5 linked regions of the Canis lupus familiaris genome follow. The protein of the gene in region 1 purifies or fractionates together with the protein of each later gene. This does not show direct contact. Links are inferred from orthologs where the notes say so. Each region holds a gene or a part of one and is shown on either strand. Other genes may lie near its edges. The genes, in order: PAK2, GIT1, NCK2, GIT2 and ARHGEF6.

What was found.
Region 2: the proteins of PAK2 (region 1) and GIT1 purify together in Homo sapiens (affinity purification with mass spectrometry; 5 studies listed by BioGRID and IntAct, with this or other methods). This does not show direct contact. The link is inferred for Canis lupus familiaris from reciprocal best matches to the Homo sapiens genes PAK2 and GIT1.
Region 3: the proteins of PAK2 (region 1) and NCK2 purify together in Homo sapiens (affinity purification with mass spectrometry; 3 studies listed by BioGRID and IntAct, counting the BioPlex papers as one, with this or other methods). This does not show direct contact. The link is inferred for Canis lupus familiaris from reciprocal best matches to the Homo sapiens genes PAK2 and NCK2.
Region 4: the proteins of PAK2 (region 1) and GIT2 purify together in Homo sapiens (affinity purification with mass spectrometry; 3 studies listed by BioGRID and IntAct, with this or other methods). This does not show direct contact. The link is inferred for Canis lupus familiaris from reciprocal best matches to the Homo sapiens genes PAK2 and GIT2.
Region 5: the proteins of PAK2 (region 1) and ARHGEF6 purify together in Homo sapiens (affinity purification with mass spectrometry; 3 studies listed by BioGRID and IntAct, counting the BioPlex papers as one, with this or other methods). This does not show direct contact. The link is inferred for Canis lupus familiaris from reciprocal best matches to the Homo sapiens genes PAK2 and ARHGEF6.

What each region holds. Positions count from the first base shown.
Region 1 is NC_049254.1:30,471,273-30,477,343, forward strand, and holds the start of PAK2 (serine/threonine-protein kinase PAK 2), read left to right. Parts: upstream 1-2,244; 5' UTR 2,245-2,351; intron 2,352-6,071. UniProt on the Homo sapiens protein: Serine/threonine protein kinase that plays a role in a variety of different signaling pathways including cytoskeleton regulation, cell motility, cell cycle progression, apoptosis or proliferation.
Region 2 is NC_049230.1:43,660,478-43,666,583, forward strand, and holds the start of GIT1 (ARF GTPase-activating protein GIT1), read right to left. Parts: upstream 4,062-6,106; 5' UTR 4,017-4,061; coding exon 3,965-4,016; coding exon of another isoform or gene 3,801-3,964; exon of another isoform or gene 3,479-3,800; intron 3,112-3,478; exon of another isoform or gene 3,034-3,111; coding exon of another isoform or gene 2,982-3,033; intron 1-2,981. Other genes in the region: uncharacterized protein LOC119876655, read left to right, coding at 3,801-3,991, 4,586-4,844. UniProt on the Homo sapiens protein: GTPase-activating protein for ADP ribosylation factor family members, including ARF1.
Region 3 is NC_049231.1:38,653,761-38,659,105, reverse strand, and holds part of NCK2 (cytoplasmic protein NCK2), read left to right. Parts: intron 1-3,427; coding exon 3,428-4,149; intron 4,150-5,345. UniProt on the Homo sapiens protein: Adapter protein which associates with tyrosine-phosphorylated growth factor receptors or their cellular substrates. Maintains low levels of EIF2S1 phosphorylation by promoting its dephosphorylation by PP1.
Region 4 is NC_049247.1:17,528,206-17,533,550, reverse strand, and holds part of GIT2 (ARF GTPase-activating protein GIT2), read right to left. Parts: intron 4,963-5,345; coding exon 4,850-4,962; intron 4,212-4,849; coding exon 4,106-4,211; intron 2,199-4,105; coding exon 2,112-2,198; intron 1,995-2,111; coding exon 1,864-1,994; intron 1-1,863. UniProt on the Homo sapiens protein: GTPase-activating protein for ADP ribosylation factor family members, including ARF1.
Region 5 is NC_049260.1:108,083,565-108,089,562, forward strand, and holds the start of ARHGEF6 (rho guanine nucleotide exchange factor 6), read right to left. Parts: upstream 3,582-5,998; 5' UTR 3,300-3,581; coding exon 3,135-3,299; intron 1,932-3,134; coding exon 1,848-1,931; intron 1-1,847. UniProt on the Homo sapiens protein: Acts as a RAC1 guanine nucleotide exchange factor (GEF).

The sequences.
Region 1 (6,071 bases):
TCCTCAGGTATACTATAATTACATTTTGAGTGCTTATATTTAGATTTTGAAATCCTGTTTACTTTTGGAAATCCTTTTAGTCCTGGGTTGAGTGAACCTGTGCAGGGAGGATTTGTATTTGTTTCCTCCAGGCCACCAAGTACTACCAGCCTAAGACCACGTTCTTGACTTGAGGTTTCCTGGACAGTGTAGGTACTATAAATTTGAACTTTAAAACCCATGTGGGTGAAAGCTTGTGGTTATGAATTCTAAAGGGACATTGTTTCCCTCTCCATGCCAAGTCTAGACTAAAACAGACTAATGTTTGGGCTAGTACAGGGGATTTTTTCTTTATCCCCCATCTAGGAGGGTATAGCCCTATGGGTTTCCCAGCCTTGAATAGGCCCAAGGCCTTGTCTTCCGTGCAGCCAGTAAAATCACAGAAATTTCTAAGATAGGTACATACCCTCAGCACAACCATAGCTTCAGTATCCTGCTTACCACTCAGGTTTCATGCTGCCTCTTTGGGTTGAGTGAAATTTGGAAGACTATCAGAGGTCGGTCTTTCTTTTCTTTTCTTTTTTCCTTTCCTTTCCTTTTCCTTCCTTCCTTCCTTCCTTCCTTCCTTCCTTCCTTCCTTCCTTCCTTCCTTCCTTCCTTCCTTCCTTCCTCTTCGTTCTCTTCTTTCTCTCTTTCTTTCTTGAGAGCTTATAGTTATGACTTTTGAAAGGATGTTCTATTTTATCCAGTATTTCAGTGTGTTTAGTAATGGGACTGCTTTTCAGGTTATCTAATTAATAATGTGCCATATTAGTCTTTGATTCCTTTCTCTCTGCATCAATTGGGTTTTTATTCTACATCTATAGATAAGCACAATCTAGCTACCTTTCTCCATGTCCACTATCTCCTTAGTATCAGTCATGACTACTGCCTTTCTAGTTCATTTCCCTTCTATTCTTGCATCTGTATACTACATTTTCCACCAAGCAATCTATTGATCTTAAAGTATAAGTCAGATAACTTCACTTTCCTGCTTGAAACGCTGTAATAGTCCAAACTCGTTAGCATGGCATTCAAGATCCTCCTTGACCTGAATCTTGTCTACTCTAGTGTTTTTTCACAGTACACTACTCTTGCACCGAGCTCAAGCTTCACAGTTCGTCTTAACTGATCATAGCAAGCAAGCCCTTTTCTTCTTCCTTCTGTCTGTAATGCTATCTCCTAGGAGTGTCTCCTGTCTCTCTCCTGTTCTCAGCTTAAATGTTGCCTCCCTAAAGATTATTTCTCTGGCCGCCCAATCCAAAATAATCTCCCTAGTTATCTTCTCATACCAGATATCATTAGTTTAATTATTGTGCTTGCATATTTCTAAGCTCTACAAAGGCAAAGTGACTCATGTTCACCCTGTATCCTTGATGCCTTAATATCATACGTTTTAGATGCTCAAGTGTTTGTAGAATTAGTGAATACATTAATGAACTCCTCCTTCGATAAAACATGAAGGCCGGGCAGCCCGGGTGGCTCAGCTGGTTTGGCGCTGCTTTCGGCCCAGGGCGTGGTCCTGGAGTCCCGGGATCGAGTCCCACGTCGTGCTCCCTGCATGGAGCCTGCTTCTCCCTCTGCTTGTGTCTCTGCCTCTCTTTGTGTCTGTCATGAATAAATAAATTCTTAAAAAAAAAAAATGAAGGCCTTAATTTTCAAGGAGGTGGGATTTTAGCAGCAAAACATAGTAAGAGCTTGTAAATAAAATGCAAAATGGATAAGGGATGAATTTCCAGAAATAAGAGTCCTGAAACAGATTCACATAGCAGTGTGTGGGTCAGCGTCTTTGGCGCAGACTAGAATGGAGACAACGCTAAATTAAACGAGGGGCATGATTCTCTTTTTCAATTCAAAGAACACCGCCCCCCCCCGCCACGCCCTCCGCCGCCAAGAAGAAAAAAAGAGCGCGAGGGAAAGCGAGGCGAGCGGGCTGCGCGTCCGAACTACAACTCCCGGCAGCCCCCGCGCGAGCCCCCGGCCGCGGGGGGCGGGTCTCCGCCCCTGGAGCTCAGGGCCCGGCCGGCGAGGGGCGGTGTCCTGGCCCCGCCCCCGCCCCGCCGGCGCCCTCCCCCAGGCCTGGCCACGCGCGGCGGCGGCGGCTGTTCCGCTTCCCCTCCGGCCCGGCCCGTCGCCATTGCCGAAGGCTCTCTGCCTCCCCGCCCGGCGCCCGGGGGCTCGGCTGCCGCCCGGCCTACGCTCGCCGCGGCCGCGCTCCTGCGCCGCCTGGCCTCCCCGCCCGCCCCGCGCCGGCGCTTGCCCGGGGCGGCTCCGGAGCCCGCCGGGAGTTGGGACGCGGCGCCTCGCTGGGGCGGGGACCTCTCGGCGCCCGGGTAAGTGCAGGGCGGCCGGGGCGCGCTCCCCGTCCTCCGCGGCCTGCCGGCGGCCGCCACCTGCGCGCCCGGAGCCGCGGGCCTGGGGCGGCGGCTCATTGTCCGCTCCCGAGGGCGGTTTCGCTCGGCGGCAGCCGGCGGGGGAAGCTCGCTGGGCAGGCGCGGCCCGGCTCCTCTGGCGCCGGCCCTGCCCGCTCGCGGGCGCCCTCCCGCCGCCGCGCACCTCCGCGTCCCCCTCAGGCCTCGGCGAGTGCGCGTCGGTGCGGACGCCTCGGTGTCGGAGCGCGTGCGGGCCTCGCCGGCCTCCCGAGCCCCCGGATCCTCAGCGGCTCCCGGTGATCTGGGTCAAGGTTGGCCCTTCCCCGCGCGTGGCTGCCTCCAAAACACCACCGCACGCCCGCGACGTGGCCGCGGGGCCGTCGGCGGGCGCGACCTTTTGACCGCGTCCCTCAGCTGCAGTCGCCCCCGCGGCGGGCGGGCGGGCGGGCGGCGCGGGGCTGCGCCCTCCTCGCGCCTTGGCCTCAGCCCGCCGCTCCCCGCCGCCCGCCGCGCCGTCGCTTTCCGCCTCGGCGGGTCCTGCCCGCTCCCGTCGGTGTGGCTGCTCGGGTTCCCCTCCGCGCGTTACCTGCACTCGTTTTCTTTTTAGCCTCTTTGGCGAAAACGCATCGGAACGGTTAGGCCTAAAATTAGACCACGGCGAGCGGTGTTTTGGACCGAGGTTGTGCGCGTCACGTTTCTTCCCCTGCTCTGTCGGGCTCTTCCGCCCTTAGAAGGAGGCAGGATGTGGAGGTGTGCGAGGATCTGCTCGGGGGTTTTGTTTTCGTGGGGTCACCCGGGAGAATTACGTTCAATGAAATTAGATTGGGGTGAAGACAGTGAGTAGTCTTTTTTTTTTTTTTTTTTTTTTAAGATTTTACTTATTTATTCATGAGAGACCCACAGAGAGGGGCAGAGACCAACGCTGAGGGAGAAGGGAGCCCGACGTGAGACCCGATCCCAGGACCCCGGGGTCACGCCCTGGGCTGAAGGCGGCGCTAAACCGCCGAGCCACCCCGGGCTGCCCTGAGTAGTGATTCTTAAAGCAGGTTAGAACTTGTCGACTTTGCCAGAAGCTCTGTGGCCTTTCTAAAACACACACTTAACTTTTTCTTTCTTTCTTTCTTTCTTTTTAATTAAAGATTTTTATTTATTCATGACAGAGAGAGAGGCAGAAGGAGAAGCAGCCTCCACGCAAAGAGCCCCATATGGGACTCGATCCCAGGACCCCGGGATCACGCCCCGAGCCAAAGGCTGGTGACACTCAACCGCTGAGCCACCCAGGCGTCCCGTAACTTCTAAATGACTTTTATGTATATGCGGAAAATCTATATAGGCGTAGACCTATGAATTTGAAAGCTTTGTTCGTGTTCTGTTAATATGGGGTCTTGATTTAAGGCAGCTCTTTCATCCTTGGCTTTTAGGCCTTTCTAGCTATCGCTTAGCCAAGAATACTGACTTCCCGTATGAAAAATGAATGTTAAAATGTTTTTGAGCTGTGATATATGTAGACCCTAAGCCCACTGCAGGGTTTGGTAAAGAGGTTGATCTACATTCAGGGAATTTTGTTTTCACTGGATCCTCCCAACTTTCCCTAAGTGACTGAGTACTGAGCTGTATGTAATACTGTTAGCATTTGACGGTGTCATTTCTCCTTAACTTGAGAGGTGTTGTGTGCCACAGGGGCTAAGGTATGGAAATGTTGGGAGTGTGAAATTCGGTCTGTTGATGTCAGTTTCTCTGCCGGTTCTTCAACAAGGGGGTACTTTTACCAAGGAAGAGTTACTGGATATTCCTCTTCACATAGGGATTTGATTCGTGGTTTACCATTATTCAAAAAGAGTTATTCTTTTGGACTTTGTGACACTTAATAGTAACCTTGCAAACCCCAAATCATAAAGGAACAATAAGTTTGTACTGGGGGTGTATCTGCTAAACAAATGAATAGGGGGGTTCCTGTGGTTCTCTGATCTTTATGATAGGCAGTTTTCCAAATAGGCATGGTTAACAGTGGTGTGTATTTCTTCTTAATTATATATACTTAAAAAAAAAAAAAAAGAGTAGAACTGGCTCAGGTAGCTAAGGATAAACTTTCGATTATACTTTTTAATAAAGAGAACTTGTTCAAATAAAGTAAGTAGGCACTTTAAAATCCTCCCTATGTTTCTTCTGTCAATATCGATTATTCTGCTATTCGAGTATAATGTTTCTTTGACTTATTGAAATTTCTCCTTTTCATTTAAGCTTGAAACTAAGCCCTGTTCAGTGCTTTAAGGCTTCAGGATTCTGATCAGTTTGTTTTCAAAGGCCCTTCCAGTTAGTTAGAGGGCTAATTCCAGACTAGTCAGAAGGTGGGTAAGTTACTTACGAATCTGAGTTGTCACTTGTATCCTTGTACCTGGGTAGAAACCGAAAGAGAAGGAAAAATAGCCCCCCTTGCCCTGAAGAAAATACTGATTGTTTCCTTCTGTGATCAGAATTTTCACTAGTTCTTCATTTTAGGATCACTAACCTACTTAAGGATAGTCCTTCTGAACATTCATGTAGGATTTCAGAGTTCTAGCCTATTATTATCTCCGAGGTACAATAGTACTTACCATTCCATGTGTCTCAAATGGTTAGGTGCTGGGGACCTGGGTTTGAATCATTACTCTCTACTTTACCCTGGGTAAGACATGTACTCTTTTCAAGACTTGGTTTTCTTCTGTTAAAGGGGGATTGATGATGATAATAATAATAATAATAATAATAATAATAATACAAATTTCATGGGGCTATTTAAAAGCAAATGAGATAATGCAGGTAAATTTTTTTTGCAAATGCAGTGCTTAGTTACTATTCCATTCTAAAGTAGGTTTTATACTTAATTGCTCCTTTTTTTTCACCCCCCAAGCTTGCTTTATTTATTCATGAGAGACACATAGAGGGGCAGAGACACAGGCAGAGGGAGAAGCAGGCTTCCTGTGAGGAGCCGGATGTGGGACTTGATCCCAGGACCCCATGATCACCAAGAGAGCTGAAGGTAGACACTCAACCACTAAACCACCCAGGTGCCCCTTCATTGCTTCTGTAGCAAATATTGTGCCCCCAAACTTAGATTTAAGAATGCTTTCTGGAATGAGCACTGGATGTTATATGTTGGCAAATTGAGCTTCAATAAAAATGTATATAAGAAAAAAACAATGCTTTCTGGAGAGGTTGGAATCTCAGGACCAATTTTCTGAGACCATAACTGTTAAATTAAAAATTATTTTTCAGGGGGAAAAAAGTTTTGCCCCTGATATAAAACACAAGTTTTTCAAATTTTAAAAAATATGCAGGGACACCTGGGCGGCTCAGTGATTGAGCGTCTGCCTTTGGGTCAGGTTGTGATCCCAGGATCCTGGGATCAAGTCCCGCAGCGGGCTCCTGCAGGGAGCCTGCTTCTCCCTCTGTCTGTGTCCCTGCCTCTCTCTCTGTGTCTCATGAATAAATAAATAAAATCTTAAAAAAAAAAAAGTATGCATATCTCTCATAGAAAAATTGGAAAGTAGCGAAGATTATTAAGAAACAGGATGAAAATCACTTTTGCCTCAGCTCTAAGAGGTAACAGACTAAAATTTTTTTCCTTATTTTTAAATCCCAAGGTAGCACATGCTTATAAAAGGTTCAAGCAACTCAATTATTTAGAACAAAAAAGTGAAA
Region 2 (6,106 bases), on another chromosome or scaffold:
CACCATCTTGAAAGCAGGCAAGAGTAATCCATGGAAATAAAGGTCAGAATGGCAGTTACCTTTGGGGGGTGTTGACTGGGAGGGGGCAGAGGAAAGGCCCAGAGAGCAATAGAAATGCTTTACCTTCAGATGGGAGTGGCTACTATGCAGGAGGTAAACAGCTAAAAAAAAAAAAGCATCCATCTGGCTCAATAAGGTGCAGGAACTTTGCTATGTATAAGTTAAACCTCAATAAAAGAGAAAAAAGCCCCCCCCCCCCCCGCATTCACTCCTCCCCAAACCCACCATCTACATTATGAAGAGACAAATGAGCCTGCAGGTTTCCAAATGTCCCCTAGCCAGTAGCCATCCTTGCTCACCCAAGTGCCTGGCACCCTGAGGTTCCACTCCCATGACCTGGGCTGCCCAGGTGGAAAAGCTGAGATGGAGAACCATGGGATAAGGAGCAGGCCCCTGAGCTGGATCAGGACTGTGAGCAGCGAGTGGAGGGGAAGGAAAGGGGGGGGAGACACATTCTCCGGGGTTCCTTGACTCCTGCCCTCTCTTGGACACCCACAGCAGACAGGTACACATATGGTGCCTGATGACATTGCGCAGATGCTATAGCAGCCATGCTATGTCCAGCCGCCTTACAAAATACACTTGTCACTTGTATGCCCATGCCTGGAAGCAGAGGGAGGACGAGGACCTTTGCAGTCAGCCTGTATCTCACCTTTCACCTCTATGGTCTCCTCAAATTAACCAACCACAAAAAGGCCACAGCCCCACTTCTAGGGCTGGAACCCCATTCATAGTGAGAGAAGCCTATGACTGGGTAGGAGGCATGTGCCTATATCCCAACTGTTGATCACCCTCAAGCCTTGTTGTACCTGGGCTGCTATAGTTCCCACACTGAGAATGCCACTCCTTGGGTCCCACAGAGATTGGGTCCTATGGTGGGGAATGGGGGAGCCCCAAGTAGCCAGCTGGGGTCCTGATAAGCATCTAAACACTCAGGGAGGCTCGACATGTGCTAGACACCATGCCAGGTGCTGGGGTAGGGTGATGTGTAAGACTTTGCCAGCACCCTGCCTATCTCACCATCCTTACCCCCTGCCTATTCCTGACATGTATTCTGGGTCAGGGGAAAAGGAGGTACCTGGGGCACGAGCAATCCAAGACATCAGATACACATCACTCCTCCCCAAACCCATTAGGCATCCATAGGTTTCAGACTGTCAAATCCAGTGGAGAAAGGAGAACTACCTTGCTGATTCTGTCCTATGTCCCTTTGGCTGAGAATGAGAACCACAGACTTGAAGATGGGATGGTCTTCAAAAACCATTTCTACTCCCAATTTCTTTGCTTCACAATTGAGAAAACTGAGGAAGAGCCCTGCCATGGGTCACAGAGTAAGCTGACAGAAGCACCCTCCCCCCAGTCCTTCTGGACCTTCCACCCTCACCCCTATGCTATGCCCGCCTTGCAGAGGTTTACACAACAGTCTGGGACACCCACAGAAGGCAAGCTCTCCTCCTCTTGGCCCTTCCATCCTCAGACCTGCATGCGGCTAGAAGAAGATCACCGTTTCCAGCTCATTAGGATAAGGATATGTAAGCCCAGATAGCTTCTTGAAGGCCCTCTAGATCATGACACGCCCTGAGAGAAGTCCCAGGGTCGCAACCACCCACGGAGTACCATGCCTCTGCCAGGCATCCACAGTCACCAAACACTTGAGCTTGGAGCCATCGGAACCACTGGAGTATCTGTGGTTCTCAACCTGTTGGGGTCTTAGGCCTGTCCTAAGGGTGGCTCAAAGTTATGGGTGCATGGAACAGCACCTCACACTCTCATGTTTAATTATGCCCACAGTCCCCCTGGAATTCAGAGACACCCTGAGCCTGCCCAGAGGTCTCCTAGGGAGTTAGCTTCTTTATTTTAAGGAGAGGATGGACAAAAGCCACGGCTTCCTTCCCCAGGCCAACTGCTGAGCCCCATCACTGGCACGGTCCTCCCACATCAGAAGGTAGCAGCCACTCAGGTCACCACTCCTCACTTCCTCAGCTGGTCAGGGGGGTTTCACATCAGCCTGGACCTGACTGTGCCGGGGAGAAGGAAAACACCAGGGTAAATACAGCCAGGAGGCTGGCCAGGAAGCCAGCGATATCCTGGGTACTACTGCTCCTTCCCCACTTCTGGCCAGACTGGGCTACACAGGGCTAGGAGGGGTCTGTGCCCAAGCTGGGACAATGCTAAGCCCACCTGACGGGGTTAAGCAGACCTTACTGGGGCATAAGAATAGCTGAGTCTAGTGGCTCCCAGGCACCAGGCAGCCTGGGGATGCCTGAGAGAAAGATGCCCAGGCTGTACTGGCCCTCAACACCAGGCCCTGCAAGTAGCCCCGGCCTTGGGAACCAGGGGCAGGCAGTCCTCGGAGTAGCTACCGCCTCTCCACCCCCCCCCCGCCCCCATCTGCTCCCAAAGAAACACTACCCCAGCCTCCCCTGGCCCATCTGCCCAGCTTTCTGCCCCTTGACCTCCGCCACCTCAGCGGGCGCCCAGACCATGCGAGCAGCAGGTGCAAGACGCGGGGGTGGCACCGAGCTGACACGAAACCCCACTCGCCCCCACCTCCTGAACCTTGCGGGCCTCCGCCACAGCCCTCCTGCCACCCCAGGCTGGCGCTTCCGTCGGGAGGTAGAGATGGGGGCGGGGGGCAGCCAGCCGCCTGCCTCCCTCAGACTCCGGGGTGGCGCCGGCAATGTCCTTCCCCGCCCGTCCGCGGACGCGAGGGCACCGGGGCCCCCCAGCCGGCCCTCCCGCCAAGGACGCGGCTCCGCAGTGGCCCGGGCGGGGGCCGAGGCCGCAGCCCCCAGCCCCGCGCCCCGCCCTCCGGCCCCGCACGGCGCTCTCGCCAGGCCCGGCGCCCGCCCGGCGGCCTCGCAGCGCGGTCGCGGTCGCAGTCGCGGTCGCGGTCCCGCCCCCGGCCCGGCCTTGCTCACCCGGGGCGCTGCAGTCCGCACACACCTCCGCCCGCGGCCCCTTCCGGGACATCCTCAGCGGCGACGCGGCCGCAGCCCTCTGGGCCAGCGTGGGGGGCGCGGGCGGCGGGCCCGGGCGGCGGCTGCCTCTGCTGCCCGGCCCGGCTCCGGCAAGGCCCCGGCTAGGCTCCGCGCGCCCGGCCAACCGTCCGCCCCCGGGGCTGGCCCGGAACCCGCCGTGCCCGCCTGCCCGCTCGCCCTCCGGCGCCCTCCGCCCCGCGCCGCCCCGCGCCGCCCTGCCGCCGCTCGCTCTCTCCGCCCCCTGCGCGGCTCCGGGCCGCTCCTGCAGGAAGCGGCGCAGGCCCTGCCCACCGGGGGAGGGGCAGCCCGCAACCCGCCCCGCCGCCGGGCCCTGCGGGCCGCGCCTCCCGGAGAAAGGAAGCCGGGAGCGCGGGCGGGAGGGGGCGGGGGTGCTTAAAGGGGCCGCGGCCGCCGCGCTGCAGGCCCTAGAGGGCAGCGTCGCCTGCGCGCCGGGCCTCGCCTCCCTCGCTCTCCGGCCCCGCGGCTGTGTGAGTTCCCCGCGCAGCCCTCTCCTCTTCGCTTTCCAGGTGGAGGGTAGCCCGAGGGGCTCAGGCCCGGGGACGGTGACCCTTGGGGGACCCGGGAAGAGAGGAAGGAGCTAGAGGCCCAGGCCCCCTTCCTCGTCAGAGCGCTGTGGTTTGGGGTGCCCGCCTCTGTGTGGCTGAGGCGAGGTGTGCGACCTGGCCCCCCATATATCCACATCTGTGTGTCCAGGTGTGTGTGGTCACACCCTTGCTGCTTACGCACAAAGCCAACAATATGGACGCCCAGGTGTACCCCTGCCTCCCAGCTAAAAATACATCTATACCTCATCCATGCTGCCGTCCCGAGAGGAAAGAATCTGGGCAGTTTTTAAAGGCCTCCCGAGGGGTGACCACTGTGCCTGTGGGCAGTAATATCCACTCTGCATTCGTCTTGTATACCTCCACGGTGTTTCTGGGCCACTGCAGGTTTGTGTGTCCAGGGCGTGTGCATATAACATACAGGGACCTTTTCTTATGGTGGCCTTTCTTCCTAGACTTCACACGGAGACGGCAATGGGGGGGGGGGGGGACAGGAAGCGGAGGCGCAGGCGGCACGTGGGTGCACCCCTGCACTGAGCATGCTCCCCCATACACGTGTGCCCCGCGTGCACCCAGCCCCCATCCCTGCAGCAGCAAAATGCCAGAGCGCTTTGCTTCTGGGGCCAGGGCCCGGGTGGCCAGGACCAGGCCTGGGGGCCAGGTCAGTGGTGACCGGAATTAAGGGAAGATTCCCAAGGGGCAGGGAGCCCTTCTCAGTAACAAGGGGGAGAAGGGGAGTCCTTGGGCAGGGGTTTGGGAGTTGGTCGATTTTATCCCAGCGGTGCCAGAACAGCAGTGGCTTGTGGGTGGGCAGGCTGCTTCCCTGGGGGAGACAAGTAATGCTCATGAGTCACACCACCCGAAATACAAGCAAAGCTGCCTCTATCGCCTTTTGCTGCAGCCCAGATTGACAAGTTTGTTTGAAATCGCGATCCACGGGGTATATTTATAATCGCACCTTTAAGAAAAATCTTTTTGCAGGCCTCTCCTCCCCCCACAGCCAGCCGCTCAGCTGGCGGGGCTTCTGCAAGCGAAGGTACCTCGCGGTGGGGGAGCACCACCTGCCGCACGGTGCCGCACCCACACCGAGAAGCCAGTCTGTGGGCTTGGTAGCCCCAGGCTGGACGACGTAATGGAGCGGCCTGGCCGCTCTTCCCGGCGCCCCCCACCCCCACCCCCAGGAGCGGTGGCCGCCCATTCACCCCCGATCGACCCACAGCTATGGAATTTCATTTATTAAATGTCGAGGCGGCTACTGGCAGCTCCATCGCTTGGCTGTCTTTGTTTCTCTGCTGTGTGGGCGCGTCTCGAGCACGTGGCAGCTGGAGGGCGCAGACCCGAGGAAAGGCGACCTGGGTTTGGTCTAGGGCCGCCTGGCAAAGAGACCCGGCTGCTAAGGGCATAGGTCCCCCAATCCTGGCCGAGCTCCCCGTCTCCCAGAACTCCCAACACTTTTCAGGGGAAGAATGATTCACCCCGTCGCCCCCTCCCGCCCGCCAGCTCTACCTCCGGGCTGGCCCGGGGACTACCTGGGAGTGGCCCAGGCAAGAAGCCACACTCTAAACTTTGTTCCGGAAGACCCCAGCCCCGCCACTGCGGAGCTTCTGGGCCCGAGACTAGGGATAAAAGGGTTCCAGGATCTCCCTCTGGAGACGTCTCCACCTCAGGAAGCAAGACAGTAGAAAAAGAAATATGAGACAAGGTTCTATAAACAATTTAATGAGGAAACAAACGTACAGGCATTCTTCTGGCCACTCCTAGCCGTCCCTCCCCCGCCCCAGCCCCTTCCCCAACTCCGGCTGCAGCCACAACACTCTGCTGACCCCTCGTGGTGGAGGTGGGCAGCGGTTCCCGGTTGCCCGAGACGCCGCCAGCTGGCTCCTCCCAGGCTGGAGAAAGGGGCGAGGCAGTCCATTCCTCCTTTATCCTTTCCCGCCTGGGCCTGGCACCGCAGGGTGTGGAGGAGGAAGGAGAGAAGACCACACAAAGAAACCTGAGAGAGGCGCGGAGAGTTTGCAAGCTTTTGCTAGCACCTCCCACACAAACATTTCTTGGATTGTTCTAAGTAGGGCTGGTATGGAATCCCTAATTCCTGTCCTGTTCTAAGGTGGACTCAGGAAGGCACAGTGCCCGGTCCTGCCACCTGTCTCGGTCCACCCGGTTGCGGGCGGGATGCGCTGTTTCTCAGGGCAGTTACTATCCTTAGCTCACCCCAGTAGGTAGTATTTGGAGTCCGATTTCGAGGTGAGTGGTCTGAGAAGACAGAAAATGTAAGCAATTTGCCTACGGCTAGGCGGTTAGTAAGGAGGAATTCGAACTCTGGTTTGGAGGGACCGGGCCACGCCTCTAGGTGCTTCCAGTCCCCGCAATAGGCAGCCCCCGAGGTCAATTACACTTTTACTACAGCGTCTTCAGGGACGCTTCTGGAAGGATCTCTCTGCCCTGGGGTTATCAGGAAGAAGGTCTTCTCTGCAATCAGTCACTTCCTCTCCCGAGGGGACC
Region 3 (5,345 bases), on another chromosome or scaffold:
ATACATAAAATAAGATTAAAAAAGCAATCATGGTACAAATCATGATGTGTTAGCCATGGAAAGCCTGCTACGTATCAGCCTCTTCATGGAACTGTGTTTCTTGACTCTTCTGGATTAAATAGGCCTTTATTGGTGTGCCAAGTCTTTGCCACTTTACTGGCTGTCTATGTTAAGTCAGTTCCCTGATCTCAGCCTCAGTTTCCCCATCTGCAGAAATAGGGAGGTGCTCACTTTGTCACAGGACTGTTGTGTTCAGATCACATGAATGTCAGTACAGTCAAGTTCCTTCCTCTTCCCAGACACCTGTCTCTTGAATTTCACTGCATCAGCAGCTACATGTGACATTGCTCCCTTGGAATAATGTTTCTCAGGTGCCAAAAGCTTGACAGGCAAGCTTTCTATTTTGGTGGCCATCTGGCACTGGTAACATTGTTGCCAAGACTGTTGAAAGGACTTTGGCCCTCTCCTGGTAAAATACCTGTCTGAGAAAAAAGAAATTCAAAGGCCTGACTTCGACAGAGTAGTAATAGTTATTCATAGAGTGCTTCCTGTTTTATATTACAATCTGAATTATGTCCCCTAGAATGCGTATGTCGAAGTCTTAACCCCCAGAAAGTCAGTGTGTGACTGGACGTGGTAAAGGTCCCTTTAAAGAGGTAATTGAGTTACAATGAGGTCTTTAGGGTGGGTCTTAATCCAATGTGACTGATGTCCTATAAGAAGAGGAAATTAGGACACAGACCTACAATGAAAGGAAGCCCGTGTGAAGACACAGCAAGAAGGTAGCCATGTGCCAGCTAGTGAGGGAGGCCTCAGGAGGGACCAGCCCTGCCCACACCTTGATCTTTTTTTACTTCCAGCCCCCAGGACTATGAGAATATAAATTTCTGTTGTTGAAGCCCTGAAGTTTATGGTACTTTGTCCTGGCAGCCCTAGCACACTGATACAGTGCCACAGTTGTCCACATTTTATGGGTAAGAGAGCTAAGACGCAAATTGAGTAACTTGCCCAAGAGCATATAGCTAATGAGTGGCCTCCTTGGGATTCAGTTGTTCTGCTGTATTCCATGACCCCCTCCCTTTACAGAGTTGCCTCAAAGACTATTTGGATCCCATTCAAGCAAAACAGGTGAATTTTCTGTGGTGTGGTTGCTATGTGGAATGTTCCAGTCTTGACAGAGAAATTTAAGTTCCATACAGGCAAGGAGTGTGCCTATCTTGTTTTTCTTGGTCTCCCCCAAAGTCTAGAAAAGTGCCTGGTGTAAAAACTCAGTGGCTAATGTAATTTTGTTCTTGAAGAGTCAGCAAAGTGGCCTATTCGTAAGTCAGTTGTGAAATGTCTTCAACAAAGTTTTATGAGGTCTAAGGTCTACTGTCTATTCTGCTGATCTTGACATCTTTCTGTGCCCATGAGTAGTCTAAATCCTGCCCTTCTGTAGGTATTTTCTCAAGTACCTTTCGTTACTCACAAACTTGAAAAGGTCTATTAGAAGGTTATTTGTAGGAGTACCTAAGGGGCTCAGTGGGTTAAGCGTCTGACTCTTGGTTTTGGCTCAGGTCATGATCTCAGGGTTATGAGATGGAGCCCCCACACTGGGTTCCATGCTAAGCAGGGAGTCAGCTTTAAAGATTATCTCCCTCTGCCCCTCCTCTCGCACGTGCCTTCTGTCTCCTAAAATAAATAAATCTTTTTAAAAAGTTATTTGTGTTATTTCTTGAAGTCTTGTTACAAGTAGAAATTGTCCTCTGCCTGTTGCGTTAGCATGCCGACTCCTTGATGAGGCTTAGAATACCCTGGTGCCTGAGCCTTCAGGACAGAAGTGTATTTTCATGTACGGTCTGCCTTCTGGATTCTGAAGCTAGTGAATCACCTGGATTCTGAAGCTAGTGAGCTAGCTCTCTCACGCATAGCTAAACTAACGTAGGCTTGAAATCGCATGAAAGGATTCGTTCAAAGATTTAGAGGTTTGTGTTTTCATGTAAAGTGAGTTAACTTGTAAGAAGTCTAAAATTTTAACTTGGTTTAGTATCCTGGTTTACTTTCCTATTTCCTATATGCTTGAATAAAATGTGTATAAAAAAAAACACACACACAGAAGCCATTCATTTGAAGAATTGGTATGTTCACTTGAAGACCTTGTGAACAGTCACTTCACACCCGTGTGCTGTCCCCTCATGTCTGCTATCCAAGTGCCTTTTAGTGTGCGGAGCCACACTGGTGGTGCTGAGCTGGGCATGTATCCAAGGGGAGCAGAGTCTTAGGCCAGGGATGGGTCTGCTCTAGAAGGCAGTGCACAGCACTCCACAGTAGAGGATGATCACAAGGCAATGTTTTGTTCCCCTTGAACTCCTGGCCCCCTCAACAAAGGAGTAGAAGCAAAGGTAATTCTTGGGATCATTCTGTCTTTACTCCATTTGAAGAAATAAAATGAGAGAGAGGTATTTTAGTTGAAGAAATAAAATAAGCTACCATAAAAGTGCTTTGGTGTCATTTTGCAAGGGTGGGGAATCTGCAAATGGCGTCTCCGTACCATCAAAGCCTGCACACTGACCAAGTTAGGAGCTTGTGTGGAGCTGGTGGGCAGGCAGCCATCTCAGGAAAAGCTGGGGAGCATGGCCCGCCCTACTGGTCTAGTGGCACACCACAGCTCTGAGCGCTGATGTGCCTTCTCCGTAGGCTCCCCTCTCAAGAAGGCTCCAGAATCCTCTGCATTCCACCCAGGCTGCAACATTTTTACCTTAGGGCTTTTCACGCTGGTTTCCCCACACACAGGAAGAGATAAGTTTCACACTGCAGCTCAGCACTGGCTCCCTTACATAACTGAAGCAACACACTATGCTTGATGCACTTGGGAGGTTTTTCTATCTTACTAACTTAAATAAAACCAGAACAACACACACACACACACACACACACACACACACACAAAGATGGTCACAACCCAGTAAATTGATTTTATGATCCACTAATGGGTTTTGAGGCACAATACAAGAAATTCTGCCTTAGACCTAACAGATCAGCTGATTGCTTCCAATTGGCTCATTGCAACGTGTGGGAAGTGAGCGCTCAGGCCCCCCCCTCCCCCGTTTTGGAAGGACAGAAGCAGCGCAGGAAGAGAATAAAGGAGGGGAGGGTGTTGGTTTGTAGCCAGCGGAGGGTCGCGGGTGTCCCCCGAGTGGCCCAGGCACGCAGCTCTGACCTGTGCCCCGGGCTGGCCTTGGACAGGTCTGAGTCCAGCAGGCCGTCCGCCCGCCCCTGCAAGCAGGCGGAAGACCTCCGGGCTGAGCCCTCCCGTGCCCTCCTCTCCGAGGGCGCGGCAGCCCTCGGGAGTACCACCCTGGGGGGCGCCGGTGCCCTGGCAGTGGGGGGGGGGGGGGCGGGGGCGGGGCGGCGGCCCTGAGCGCTCAGCCCCGCTGTGTCTCCGCAGGCCTCGGCAAGACCAAGAGGAAGACGAGCGCGCGCGACGCGTCCCCGACGCCCAGCACGGACGCCGAGTTCCCGGCCAACGGGGGCGGCGCCGACCGCATCTACGACCTCAACATCCCCGCCTTCGTCAAGTTCGCCTACGTGGCCGAGAGGGAGGACGAGCTGTCCCTGGTGAAGGGGTCGCGCGTCACCGTCATGGAGAAGTGCAGCGACGGCTGGTGGCGAGGCAGCTACAACGGGCAGATCGGCTGGTTTCCCTCCAACTACGTCCTGGAGGAGATGGACGAAGCGGCCGCCGAGTCCCCCAGGTTCCTGAGCCTGCGGAAGGGCGCGTCCCTGAGCAACGGCCAGGGCGCCCGGGTGCTGCACGTGGTGCAGACGCTCTACCCGTTCAGCTCGGTCACCGAGGAGGAGCTCAACTTCGAGAAGGGTGAGACCATGGAGGTGATCGAGAAGCCCGAGAACGACCCCGAGTGGTGGAAGTGCAAAAACGCCCGGGGGCAGGTCGGCCTGGTCCCCAAAAACTACGTGGTGGTCCTGAGCGACGGGCCGGCCCTGCACCCCGCCCACGCGCCGCAGATCAGCTACGCGGGCCCCGCGTGCAGCGGACGCTTCGCGGGCCGCGAGTGGTACTACGGCAACGTGACCCGGCACCAGGCCGAGTGCGCGCTCAACGAGCGGGGCGTGGAGGGCGACTTCCTCATTCGGGACAGCGAGTCTTCGGTGAGTGCCTGCCGGAGGCGCCGGGGGCCGGGCCCTGCCGGGCTGCGTGGGTGCGTGTGTGCGAGTGGGGGGGGGGGGGAGGGGTGCAAGGGCAGGCGCGCTGCTCTTCTCCGATCCCTCTCCACGCGCACGGCGAGTAGCCGGAGGATGCTTGCAGCTCCTGTTCACATAGAGCCCCACGTATTTGCGGCTCCAGGTCAGCTAGGGGAATCCCACGGCCCGCAAGCCTGCTTGGGGTTGCTGCAACGGACCGTGATGGACTGCAGTCCCCCGTGGGTGTAGAAACCCACCCGGGGACCTATCTGGCAGGGGGGACGGCAGGTAGAATGGCCCTGCAGCTGCCGAAGGCGGTCGTGCCGCTCTCCTGAGATTCTCCCCTCGATGTTCTTCTGCACACTCCGACATCAGTTTCTCTCCAGGTTTCCCATTCTGTGAGTGACCCCACTTCCCGCAACCCAGGCCCTGCTGGTTGACTTTGTTTCCTCTCTAGGTCCCAGGCATGTCTCCTGGTCACAGCGGGAGGGGCACCTGGTTTCTGACACAGCCTTTTGTTGGTCGGTTTGTTTTTCTTTTGAAACCAGACGATCCTAAGGGCACGGCGACCGCAGGCGGCATCAGGGAGTTCATCTCCAAGAAGCTTTTAAAGCACTTAGGAACGGAATCGAAAAGAAAAAGACAGGGCTTGAAAGAGATGAGTTTGTGTGTGTGTGAACTGCATCAGAGGTATGAGGCCGCCTGACTTGCAGCAGATCCTTTTCCAGGGATAGGCGGATTGGGGGTTTGAATTTTTGGGTATGCTGAGCCTGTCTGGAAGAACTGAGCCGGTTGTCACGCACGGTAACCTTTTCATGAGTACGTTATGGATTTTGTTGATCTCTTTGCAGATATGCCTTCCATATAATAAGATCCCCACCCCACCCCCCCCCCCACCCCCCCAAAAAAAAACATGACTTCTGCAGATAGAATCCATGGTGGTTACGTTGTATTGGTTCTGGCAGGTTTCAGTTTAATTTTTTAAATGCATACTGTAAGACTGGTAAATATGTGATCTGTACCATAATTGGTATCCTCTGGGAAGGTTGATACCACAATAAGTGCATATTCAAGACTCTTGCAGACTGATCTGAGAGCAATTCCAGGCCACAAGAAATGTTTTTGCTCTTCTGAGAGAAAGGCAGCTGTGATCTGTTCTTCTT
Region 4 (5,345 bases), on another chromosome or scaffold:
TAAACTGTTTTCATAGTCTGAACTACCCCCTCTCCTTTCCTAATTTACATAACAGAATACTTAATAAGGAAACGGAGGACTTATGGGACATATAAAGAATCATTTCATTTAATGAGGTAGAAAATAAAACCAATAAATGATCTAGAGTAGAGGTTCTCAAAAATTAACTAGTGCGCTTTAAAAAAACATGTAGATATCCAGGCCCCAACCGTGGGAATTCTGAATCAGGACAGGACGAGTGTGAATGTCAATTTTGAAGAAGGTCCTTTCCTTAGGGGTTCCTGATGCAGCCAGTCTGATTCCAGATGAGAGTTTAGTAACCACTTCAAGGTCTGTAATTCAGGGAGAGACAGACCAACAGAATGCACAGCTCACACTTGTAGCTAGGTTTACCTGCTTAACTTCAATTTCTATAAGAGAAAACATGAGGTTTGTCTTTCTTAACTCACCAAGTAAATACTTAAGCTGCTTGAAATCCTTTTAGCAACCAGGCATATAAATAAATTATTACACAGAGAGACTATTTTATATGCAAGATACACATGAGGAAACTCCAAAGTAAGTGACATTTAAGTATCATGTACTGAGGGTTCTCTTCCTCTTAAAAGCTGAAGTCTCGTTTCTGCCACTTTCTTTTCCCACCTTTCAAGACACTACAAAATATTCCTCTGACCTACCACACGTTTGATTTCTGAGATACGGATCTCTTTCCCTCATTCTTTTTAAATAGCTGTGAAATCAGGAAGTATACTACAATTGATGGTACATCATCATTTAATCAGCTAAGTTGTTCTTAAGTGGTAGGTGACATAATGACGACCCATATAGTCAGTGGAGTCTCAGATCTAGGAAATACTATATTCCTCAATACCCAAGTTCTTATTATTCCTAGACACACTCTGCTCCATCCAGTAAACTCCTCTGCTGTGCTGAAAATGCCCTGTCCATCCCTCCCTCCTGAACGTAAACTCAATCCTTCTCTTTCACTTGGAATGTCTTAGCTTCTCCTTCACACACCCAAATCCAACCCATTTTTTAAAGACCAACTAAAGAAGTTTCTTACTAACTTAGGTCAAAACGAAGAAACCCTACATATGCCTTTTAAGACCAGTTATCCATTTTGGCAATGAATTCCACATTATCTTGCCTCCTTTAACTCTTTCATGTATTTATGAATCATCTCCTCCATGAGATAATAAATTCTGGGAAGGCACAATTTTGGCATTTCACCCATTTTATCCTCTGCAGAACAGTAGAATGCTTTGCAGTTGATAAAAAATTAATTTGGAAAAAGAAAGATGAGCCATCTTCTACCATTTAAATGATATTCAAGGCTAACATGGATTTTTTTATTTTTCCAGCATTTCACAAAGTTTTTAAAACAAGAAGAAACTTAAGGAATTTTATTGCAAGCACCCAGACATCTGCTACCTAAAACCTATAATTAACATTTTACTATTACTTGTTTAATCGCCTACCTATCTATATAGCTCTGTTTTTTAAGTTCAAGCAATGACTAAACATATTAAGAAACTGAGGAGTGGGTTTTGCAATTCTTGATACTTGCTTTGGACTATGGCTCAAATACCATTGCATTAGAAGTCATTTGAAAGACTGGAAGCTAAGCACACTGGAAGCTAAGCACATTAGCTAAGCTAATGGTTCTATCTCCTCCAACTCTGCCAGGCTCTGAGCTCTTATGTATTTGAAATGCTTTCATCTGTAAAATAATGGGAGATGTATATCCTTAACTTAAAGGGGTTAAATGTTAATCATACACAATTTAGCCACCAACAATGAATAATACCCAACATAAATAATCCCTAACCAAAGATGCAGTGACAAGAAATCTAGGTCTCTCACCTTGCATAATCCACAGGAGTTTTTCCACTAGAATCCTGTGTGCCTGGGTCTGCTCCATATACTGCCAATAATTCTGCCTGTAAAATCTGCCCTGCTTTGGAGGCAACGTGGAGTGGGGTGTTTCCTTTTTCCTGAGAAATATTAATAAAAAGTAGATTAACAAGCAAATTAAATAAAACTAAAGGCTACAACAAACACAACCCACTTAGTTTCAATTTAGTATCTGAATCAATTCATGCTTTTCTCACAGGGTGAAAGAAGTTGGCTTGTGCTCCTAAAGATAACAGCCTCAAACAGGTTTCAAGATTCCCTGTTCTCACGCTTGAATGAAGTTGCTGAAAAACACACAAATCAAAAAAGTATTTGTTAAAAGTGTAAAGAATGGTATACTATAGCAGCTGGCAGATCATTTTAATATACATTATATTAGTGATAATCAGTTATTTAGCTCAGTAAGCCTCTCCCTTGCTGGTCACAACCACTCCAGAGCTCTAAGGTGGGGCCAGGTCCATTTTACTGATAAGGAAATAAGGATGGGAAGGCTGATTTGCCCAAATGCACAATCTAAGTGGTACAATCAGACCTGAAGTGAAAGGGGGTATGAGAAGATAGGTGAACACAGCTCTGAAGTCTCAAAGACCTGAAGTTAAAACCATATACCCTTCAAGTTGTGTGACCTTGTGGAAGTTCTTTAAACAATCTGAACCTTAGTTTTCTCAGCTCTAAAATGGTGAAAACAATGCCACTTATTCAAGGATTACTGTAAGGAGTCAATGATATAACAAAATGCTCAGCATGGAGCCTGGTATACAGGAAACACTCAAAGAATACAACTGCTGTTATTATAATCATTATTATTTGTTGTTGTTATTTAACCTAGGGCTTTAGGGCTGCGTACCCCATGCTGTAAACTACTGGATTCTGCTTTATAGCACACCCTCTTCATAACAACATTCTTGGCCTTGTATATAATACTTTAACAAAATCTTTCAGGCTGGGAAATAGGCCTGGTGTATACCAAATTCTGTACCACTGCAGAAAAGCTCTTAAACATGCAGAAGATTAGCTGCTTTTTTCAAGTCTAACCTAGAATTGTCTAAAATGCAATAACCCTTATTATAAAAATGCAGAAGTCTACTCCAGCATCTATATCCACACCTTATTTTTACAATTAATGTATTTAATATTCTTAAGTTGTGGTAAAAACCCCATGCCAAGCTTATTAACGGAAGTAACAGTTATATATGTTTTCTATGCAAAGTTTAAAATTCCTTTTTTTTTTTTTGCAAAGTTTAAAATTCTGATTGCAAGTGTCCAAGCTCTGTGCGAACATTTCCTAAAAGCAGTGCTTTGAAAATAAAAATGCATGTTTCTCATGGCATCTCTCAAAATCATGCAAAGGCCCACATAAAGAAAACCATCTACTCATTTTACAAGTATAATAAAGAATCATAAGCACTACAGCTTTCAGTCATCCTGCTTCCTGAAGATCCTACTCAGTATGCAACCCAGAAACCTAAAGAGGTCCCTCGAACTTTCTAGTCCCTTCTAGAAACAAACTCAAGGGATGGTTCCTATTTTAAAGTTAAATGAAAAACTTTTAGGGATACAATTTTAGGGGTGTCTGGGTGGCTCAGTTGGTTAAGCGTCTGTCTTCGGCTCAGGTCATGATCCCAGGGTCCTGGGATCAATTCAGTGGGGAGTCTGCTTCTCCCTCTCCCTCTCTCTCTGCCCCTCCACCTGCTCGTGCTCACCTTCCCTCTCTTTTTTAAAAAAGATTTTAATTATTTGAGATAAAGATTTTATTTATTTATTTGAGAGACAGAGAGATAGTGAAAGAGAGAACATGAGCAGTCGGGAGAGGGAGAAGCAGGTTCCCTGCGGGGTTCAATCAGAGGATCCTGGGGGCCATATCCTGAATTGAAGGTAGGTGCTCAACCAACTGAGCCACCCAGGTGCCTCAAGAAATATAATTTCAAAACCATTTCTGAAAAACATAAATAATTTTCTAGATACATACTTATTTTTCCTTGTACCTCCTTGTACCTCCACTAACATAGAATGGCTGCCATTTGAACTAAAATTAAAGATGTAACCAACTGCAAAAAAGGTTGTTATTAATTATTTAGAGTACAGAAAGTTTCTGTTTTGTTTTTCTTTTCTTCCTCTTTAAGTTTTTTTCAAACAAAACAATATATCATTTGATCCAGCAGTTTTAGGGATTTTAAAAAGTGTGACCCACCTTGCTAAGATCTTTGGCAGTCATACTGTCATCATCCCGGCAAGGCAAGCGATGGACAAATGCTAACATCTGATATTTGGCTCTGATGAATTCTGCTTTATTAGGACTGATTACCACCCAGAAAAAAAAGAAAGAAAGAAAGCTGCTTACTTGCAGTTCAGATGCAACATTTCCCATTCTTTAGGCCGTAAAAAGAAAAGGAAGTGACCCATATCCCCTACTAGAGAAGAAAATGAATGACACTGAAATAAGTTCCAGCAGGAGTTTAAGACCTGAAGTCTCAAAACATCAATTAGTCATTCTAAAGGCCAGGACTGCAGAATACTTGCTTTTTAGAGCTTCTCTCTTTGTAATTTTCTTAACTGACCTACAGCCTTGTGAGGAAGCAGCATTGTATCCCATCCTATAGGTGAGGCATCAGGCAGACCAGAGCCCAGAATGGAGATTTTTGGTCTGATTGCCTCTTGTTTGAGCACCTAAGCTTAAATCAGATTACATTAACAGTCTCTGAGCATTAGTGTCAAACTGGAGAAGCCACTGACTTGTGCTGTACAACCATGCAAAAGAGATGGTCCTGTGCCTGGCCTTGTTCTGCATTCCTAAGAGCAGAGAGCTCAACGCACAATTGGGGTGTAACCACCTCCTGTGCTGCCCTTGTGGGGGCTGGTCCAAAGTAGCTGCACTCCTTTTAGTGGGCCCCAAGTGTTATGAAGAAATAAAAGTATTTATAAACATTCCACTCACTGTACTTTATCCTGTGGATTAGCTTTACGTCTTCCGCTCATAATAGAGGCAGGGTCCAGCAAAGAATGTTCCCATATAGAATTAGCACCATTATTATACAAAGTTTCAACCATCTAAAAACCAAGCAGTATAAAATCATATTTTAATTTCTTTCCACAAATATTCACTGGAAATTACAGTGACTGAACTGGGAAAACCAAGACCCACTGCACGGCGAGGATGTCTTACAAATCATTGCTTTCTGATTCTAGAATGAGAAAGATGAACCTATATGCAGGATTCAGGTCTGACCAGGAAGATGGCTAAGTACCTAAAAGAGTTTGATTAGATTATTCTTACAGATTATGAAGGAAGAGCACTCTGACACTTTGGGGTAAGCCTGATTATCCAAATACTATTTTCAAGATTCTTAACCCATGTACTGTCTAGACTTTCCATCTAATATTTTTCTTTAAATCTACTCATTAAAAAAACAAAAAACAAAAAAACTTTTACT
Region 5 (5,998 bases), on another chromosome or scaffold:
GGCAAATAGCCAAAGAAAACAAAAACATGAATTAAAAAAATATGTAGGGCCGCATGGGTGGCCCAGTGGTTTAGAGCCTGCCTTCGGCCGGGGGCATGATCCTAGAGTCCCGGGATCGAGTCCCGCATCAGGCTCCCTGCATGGAGCCTGCTTCTCCCTCTGCCTGTGTCTCTGCTTCTCTCTCTCTCTCTCTCTCTCTCTCTCTCTCTCCTCTCTGTGTGTATGTGTGTATGTCTCATGAATAAATAAATAAAATCCTTAAAAAATATGCATCTGTATGGTTATTAAAGCATTATTTGCAATAGCTAAGATATGGAAGCCACCCAAGCATCCATTCAGAGATGAACAGACACAAATATGGTATACATGCACTCAATCATATAAAAAAAATGAATGAAATCTTGCCATTTGGGACAACATGGATGGGGTATTATGCTAAGTGAAGTAAGTCAGACAAAGAAAGGCCATTACCATACCATTTCACTCATGTGTGGAATCTAAAAAACAAAACAAAATGAAATAGAAACAGACTCATAGAAACAGAACACACTGGTGGTTGCCAGAAAGAAGGGGACTGAGAGGATGGATGAAATAGATGAAGGCGACTAATAGGCACAAACCTCCAATGTTACAATAAGTAAGTCATGGGGATGACAAATAAAACAGAGGGAATACAGTCAATAATATTGTAGGGTCGCCTGGGTGGCTCAGTTGGTTAGGTGGCCGACCCTTGATTTTGGCTCAGGTCATGATCTCCAAGTCCTGGCATCAAGCCTCGTGTCCAACCCCACCCACACAAAGCCCCGCAGTGGGCTCCACATTTGGAGGAGAGTCTGCTTCAGGATTCTCTCTCTCCCCTGCCCCTCCCCCACGCATTCTATAAATAAATAAATAAATAAATAAATAAATAAATAAATAAATAAATCTTTAAAGAATAATATTGAAGTAACATTGTATGGTGACAAATGGTAGCTACACTTACTATGGTGGGCACTGTGTAATGTATAGAATGTTGAATCACACATTGTACATCTAAAACTAATATAATATTAGTTAATATTAATATCAACTAATATTAATATCAATATAACTATACTTCCATTTTAAAAACCTACAATCTTTTTTAAATGAATGTATAAGACTTCAGCATCATTTGAATGTACTATAATTTATTTGACTATTCTCCCATTGCTAGTTATGGATGTTGTTTCCATGATTTTGCTTCTGCAAATAAAGATGTAATACACACACACACACACACACACACACACACACACACTGAGGAACAAAGAAGTTACATAATTGGACACTCAGACAAAAGTATCACCTCCTTTGCAGCAATACCCCCAAATATACTGTAAGGATCTATATGATATAAAATAGTGCAATGTAAGTTAATATACAATTTCTACCACAGGGCCAGGCTCTCTTGGCTTTTCATGGCCTCTGTTCTAAAGTGTTAATAGGAAAAAAGTGACAGTATACTTTCATCTCTTCCCAACTCGGAGGGGGGGGATTACTATGACCCCCTAGAGCGGCCAATGGCCTGCTTTTGGTTCCTCCCAGGAGGGAGGCACATTACACAGCCTTTGTCACTGGAAGCCTGCTTTCAGGGCACGGATGCTGTATTAAAAAATAGCATATTCTGAGTTTTGATTTTGTTTTGTTTCATTTTGTTTTGGAACTGGTTTCTGGAAAAGACAAACTAACCAGCCACCACTGGAGACCACCAATCTTAACCATGATCTCCATAAAATGCTACCCCTGTGTAACAGTCAGAAACAACCCAGTACTTTTAGTACAACACCATTTTCACTAGCAAGGCAAGGCATCCCGGGTGGGCTTACCTCCACTTGAAGGGCTGCACATCCTTTCAGGAAGTCACTGATGTTGTTGAGGCAGTCAGCTTCGGTTTGGGGCTCCAAACAGTACTAGAAAAACATAGCCAAATGTCACTTGAACCCTGTTATCGCATGCCAAGCATACACCATAGTCCTCATTTTCTGATAACTAGATAGGTAAGCTTTTTAAGGCAGGGGCCACATTGCTGTCAATCCAGGAAGAGAAATAACCACTGGAGGAAGTGATGTAAAAGTCTAAACGGTCGGTCTGTTTCAAATGTCACCAAACTTCCAGTCCCAAACCACCTATCTCTACTGACAAACTATTTTTTAGCCTTCAGCCAAAGTGCGGAGACAGCAAATTAGATCCAGGCTGTGTTTTGACCTTGGTTCTTGCTTTTAAGTTATTTTCTTGCTCCCTCCTCCCCATGATAATTTATTAACACTCTATCCTCCCATTTACTGTTTGTTACATTTGGTTACAGTTCTGCATGTTGCACTACCACTTCAGCACTGTTTTTCAAGTTTCAGAGAAATTATAAGTAAACCAATTTGCTCAATAAAAATACCAACCAGTACAAGAAGGCAAAAGCACTCACGTTATGCTCATAGTCACGTCCCCTGCTAACCTTAAGAAAGCTGTAGGATTCAACCTTTAAACTTAAAGTGCCTACTTTAGAAATTATCTATCCTTGTGAATATGGATTTCCAACATTAAAACTTTTGGCTTTTTAAAAGAGAGTAAGGTTAGTTTCACTTTGAACACATGTTGCATACAAAACATATATCTGGTTTCTATTGTTTTAACAAACCTTTTCTGACATTTTGGATTATTTCTTCTGGTTGCCTCTGTTTCAAAGGATATTTTATTTCTTTGAGAAGCAAATCAACATTGATTTTAGTCAAACTGTCAATAAACACCATCAATATCTATTATAAATCATCCCGTTATTACACCAATTCATATATACCCCAAGTTCAAAATATGCCCTTGGTACACAGAGAGTAATAACACATATCTCTATGACAGAGCAAATGATACGAGTATTTTCTCCTTGTCCCCTGGCACCAACATTGTATCATGATTTTACTATATTTGGGGGCCAAGTGCTAACGGATAACCTTTCATTTTCTGAGCTTTTCAAGCTACAAAAACAAGACAGAATGCCAAACTCCTAGGAAGAGATTCAAGTGGCAGAGTCCCATGATCCAGGCAACAGAACATCTCAAGGGTTACATTATTGCTGCTCTCTGGTGGTAAGCAATCCTAAAGAGAATGCCCATTTCCCTTACCTTTTCTAGAGAGCCAGGCCTAAGTCTGTTGATCAGTTTGCACAGCACTACCCCATTTTTCAGCGAGGACTTCAAGAACTCCTCTGGATCACAGATGGTCTTTTTGGGGGAATCTAAAACTCCCAAGGATATAAGCCATGTCACGATTCGCTCTTCTGGATTCATCGCTGAGGACTGTATGCTCTGCACAGCTCCCCAGGGCAGCTGCAAGGACTAAGCCACATCCGTAATTGCATCTGCTACTGCCTTCCGTTTTTATAAGTTCTCTTCTGGGGCTTGCAGAGCAAAGCGTTTCAACGACTTTCTTAGATAACGCGACCCCACTCCAATTACAGGATCTTAAAGCCACAGAGATCACACTTAAAAGATGTAGAAATAGAAAGAATAAAAATCTTTGGATAATGCTGGATTTTGTTTTCCAAGCCTGCAAAGCTAACTTACCAGGGTTAAAAAAAAAAGAAGAAGAAACACACATAAACACAGCCCCCCCCCCCAAAAAAAAAACCCAACAGTGCAAGAAGCTGTAAGGGAAGGAAGTGAGGAGGATGCTGGGGAGGGAGGAGAGAGAATGAAGCAAGTGCTCTTGGAAAACACAGGGGACTTTGGCAATGAGACACTCATGGGCCAGTCTGGGGAAACACTGTCAATAAATAGTCTAGCCCCAGTGAAAATCTGGCTGCTGTCAGGAGGAAGATGCCAACTGGCTCTTAGGTCACATAGATCTGAGGCTCATGAAGAAGGTAGGCTGAGAAAATTCTTCCAAGAAATGGCCGGATGTCCTCATACTGTCTCACAGAGATGGTGTGTCATGATCATCCCTTGTAAAACACGTTGAATTGCATGGTGATAACGTGCCAAGCAAATGAAGACGGTGCCTGCTGTCAGCCATCACTGTGTACAAGCAGAAGCTAGAAGAATGGCATTTTACTTTGCAGCCAAAAAGCTATGTTTAGGGAAATAGGCTAAGGATAACATCTGACATCCTGTTTACTTGCATTCTTTAGCAATTCTTTTTCTGGACCTGGTTCCACTACACAATCCAGCTGCAGTACCCCTAGCAAAGGCTCTGACACAGTCCTATGAGAGGGTATAAAACACTTGAAAACAGAACTTTTGAGAACAAAAGAGCACTTGTCCTCTGTCTATACTATAGTCTGGAAAGTTGATGCTTCCCCAACAAGAAACACTTTGCGTTAAAAATGGTGCTCTAGGGGCGCCTGGGTGGCTCAGTTGGTTAAGCATCTGCCTTCAGCTCGGGTCATGATCCCAGGGTCCTGGGATTGAGCCCCATGTCGGGCTCCCTGCTCAGTGGGGAGTCTGCTTCTCCGTCCCTCTCCCCACCCACCCCCCACTTGTACTCTCTCTTGCTGTCTCTCTCTCTTTCTCAAATAAATAAATAAAATCCTTTTTTAAAAATGCTGCTCTGAAAAAAAACAAACCTGGTCTAAAACAAGAGATCTTTTCACAACCAGTTGAAATAGTCATACTATTGGGAAACTTGTAAGAAGACCAATGAGAACAGCATAGCCTTAAACTGGCAAATGCATGCTCCTCCCCATCAGTCACTGCCCCTCCTCAAGTAGGGGATCCTGCTAAGCTTCCGAATCCTTCTCAACACAGCTCTAGACATCTACTACCAAATGATCAGCTTAGATAATCCTGCTAAATGTTTTCAAAGCTTCCTCTTCTTGCCATGTTCCTAACACTTATCACGTTACTATTTACTTGTTGATATGTCTCCTCCACCAGAATGTAACCTCCCTAGAGTAGACGTCTTGTTTGTTTTGTTTAACACTGTTCCCAGCAGGATCAGGTACATAGTAGATATTCTACAATGCTGAATGAGGGGTATCTGAGTAGCTCAATTGGTTGTCTGCCTTTGGCTCAGGTCATGATCCTGGGGTCCTGAGATAGAGCCTAGGGTCAGGCTCCCTGCTCAGTCAGGAGTCTGCTTCTCTTTCTCCCTCCATCCCTCCCCCTTCTCCCTCTCCCCTCTCCCTGCTCCTGCTCTCTCTCAAATAAATAAAATCTTTTTTAAAAAATGCTGAAGGAGGGATCCCTGGGTGGCTCAGCGGTTTAACGCCTGCCTTTGGCCCAGGGCGTGATCCTGGAGTCCCTGGATCGAGACCCACGTCGGGCTCCCTGCATGGAGCCTGCTTCTCCCTCTGCCTGTGTCTCTGCCCCTCTCTCTGTGTGTCTCTCATGAATAAATAAATAAAATCTTTAAAGATAAATAAAATTAAAAATGCTGGAGGAATGCATGAATGAACGAATAAACTCTTATGTCTTAAAACAAAAATTTTTCCTTGCTGATTTCTTTTACTGAAATATAATTGATGCATATTATTATGCACCTATTTAAGATGACCAATTTAATTAAATTTGACATATACACCTGCAATACAATCAAACACAATGCAAGTAAAACTTTCCATCACCCCCAAAGATGTCCCTTCTTCCCTACCTTCCCTTCCAATCTGCTTTCAGCCCCTGCAGATTAGTTCACATTTTCTAAAATCCTATATAAATGGAAGCATACAGTGTGGTACTTCCTTTTCTCTGTTTTTTTTTTTTCACTCAGCATCATCATTTTGAGATTCATTCATGTTGTTTTGTCTATCAATAGTTCTATAACAAGGATTTGACCTCCAACTGTTTGGTTTGATGTAATTATACTTAGAAGCAAAATAAATATACTCAATCAGGGCAGCCCTGGTGGTGCAGCGGTTTAGTGCTGCCTGCAGCCCAGGGCGTGATCCTGGAGACCCAGGATCGAGTCCCACGTCAGGCTCTCTGTATGGTGCCTGCTTCTCCCTCTGCCTCTGTGTGTGTGTGTGTGTGTGTGTGTGTGTGTGTGTGTGTGT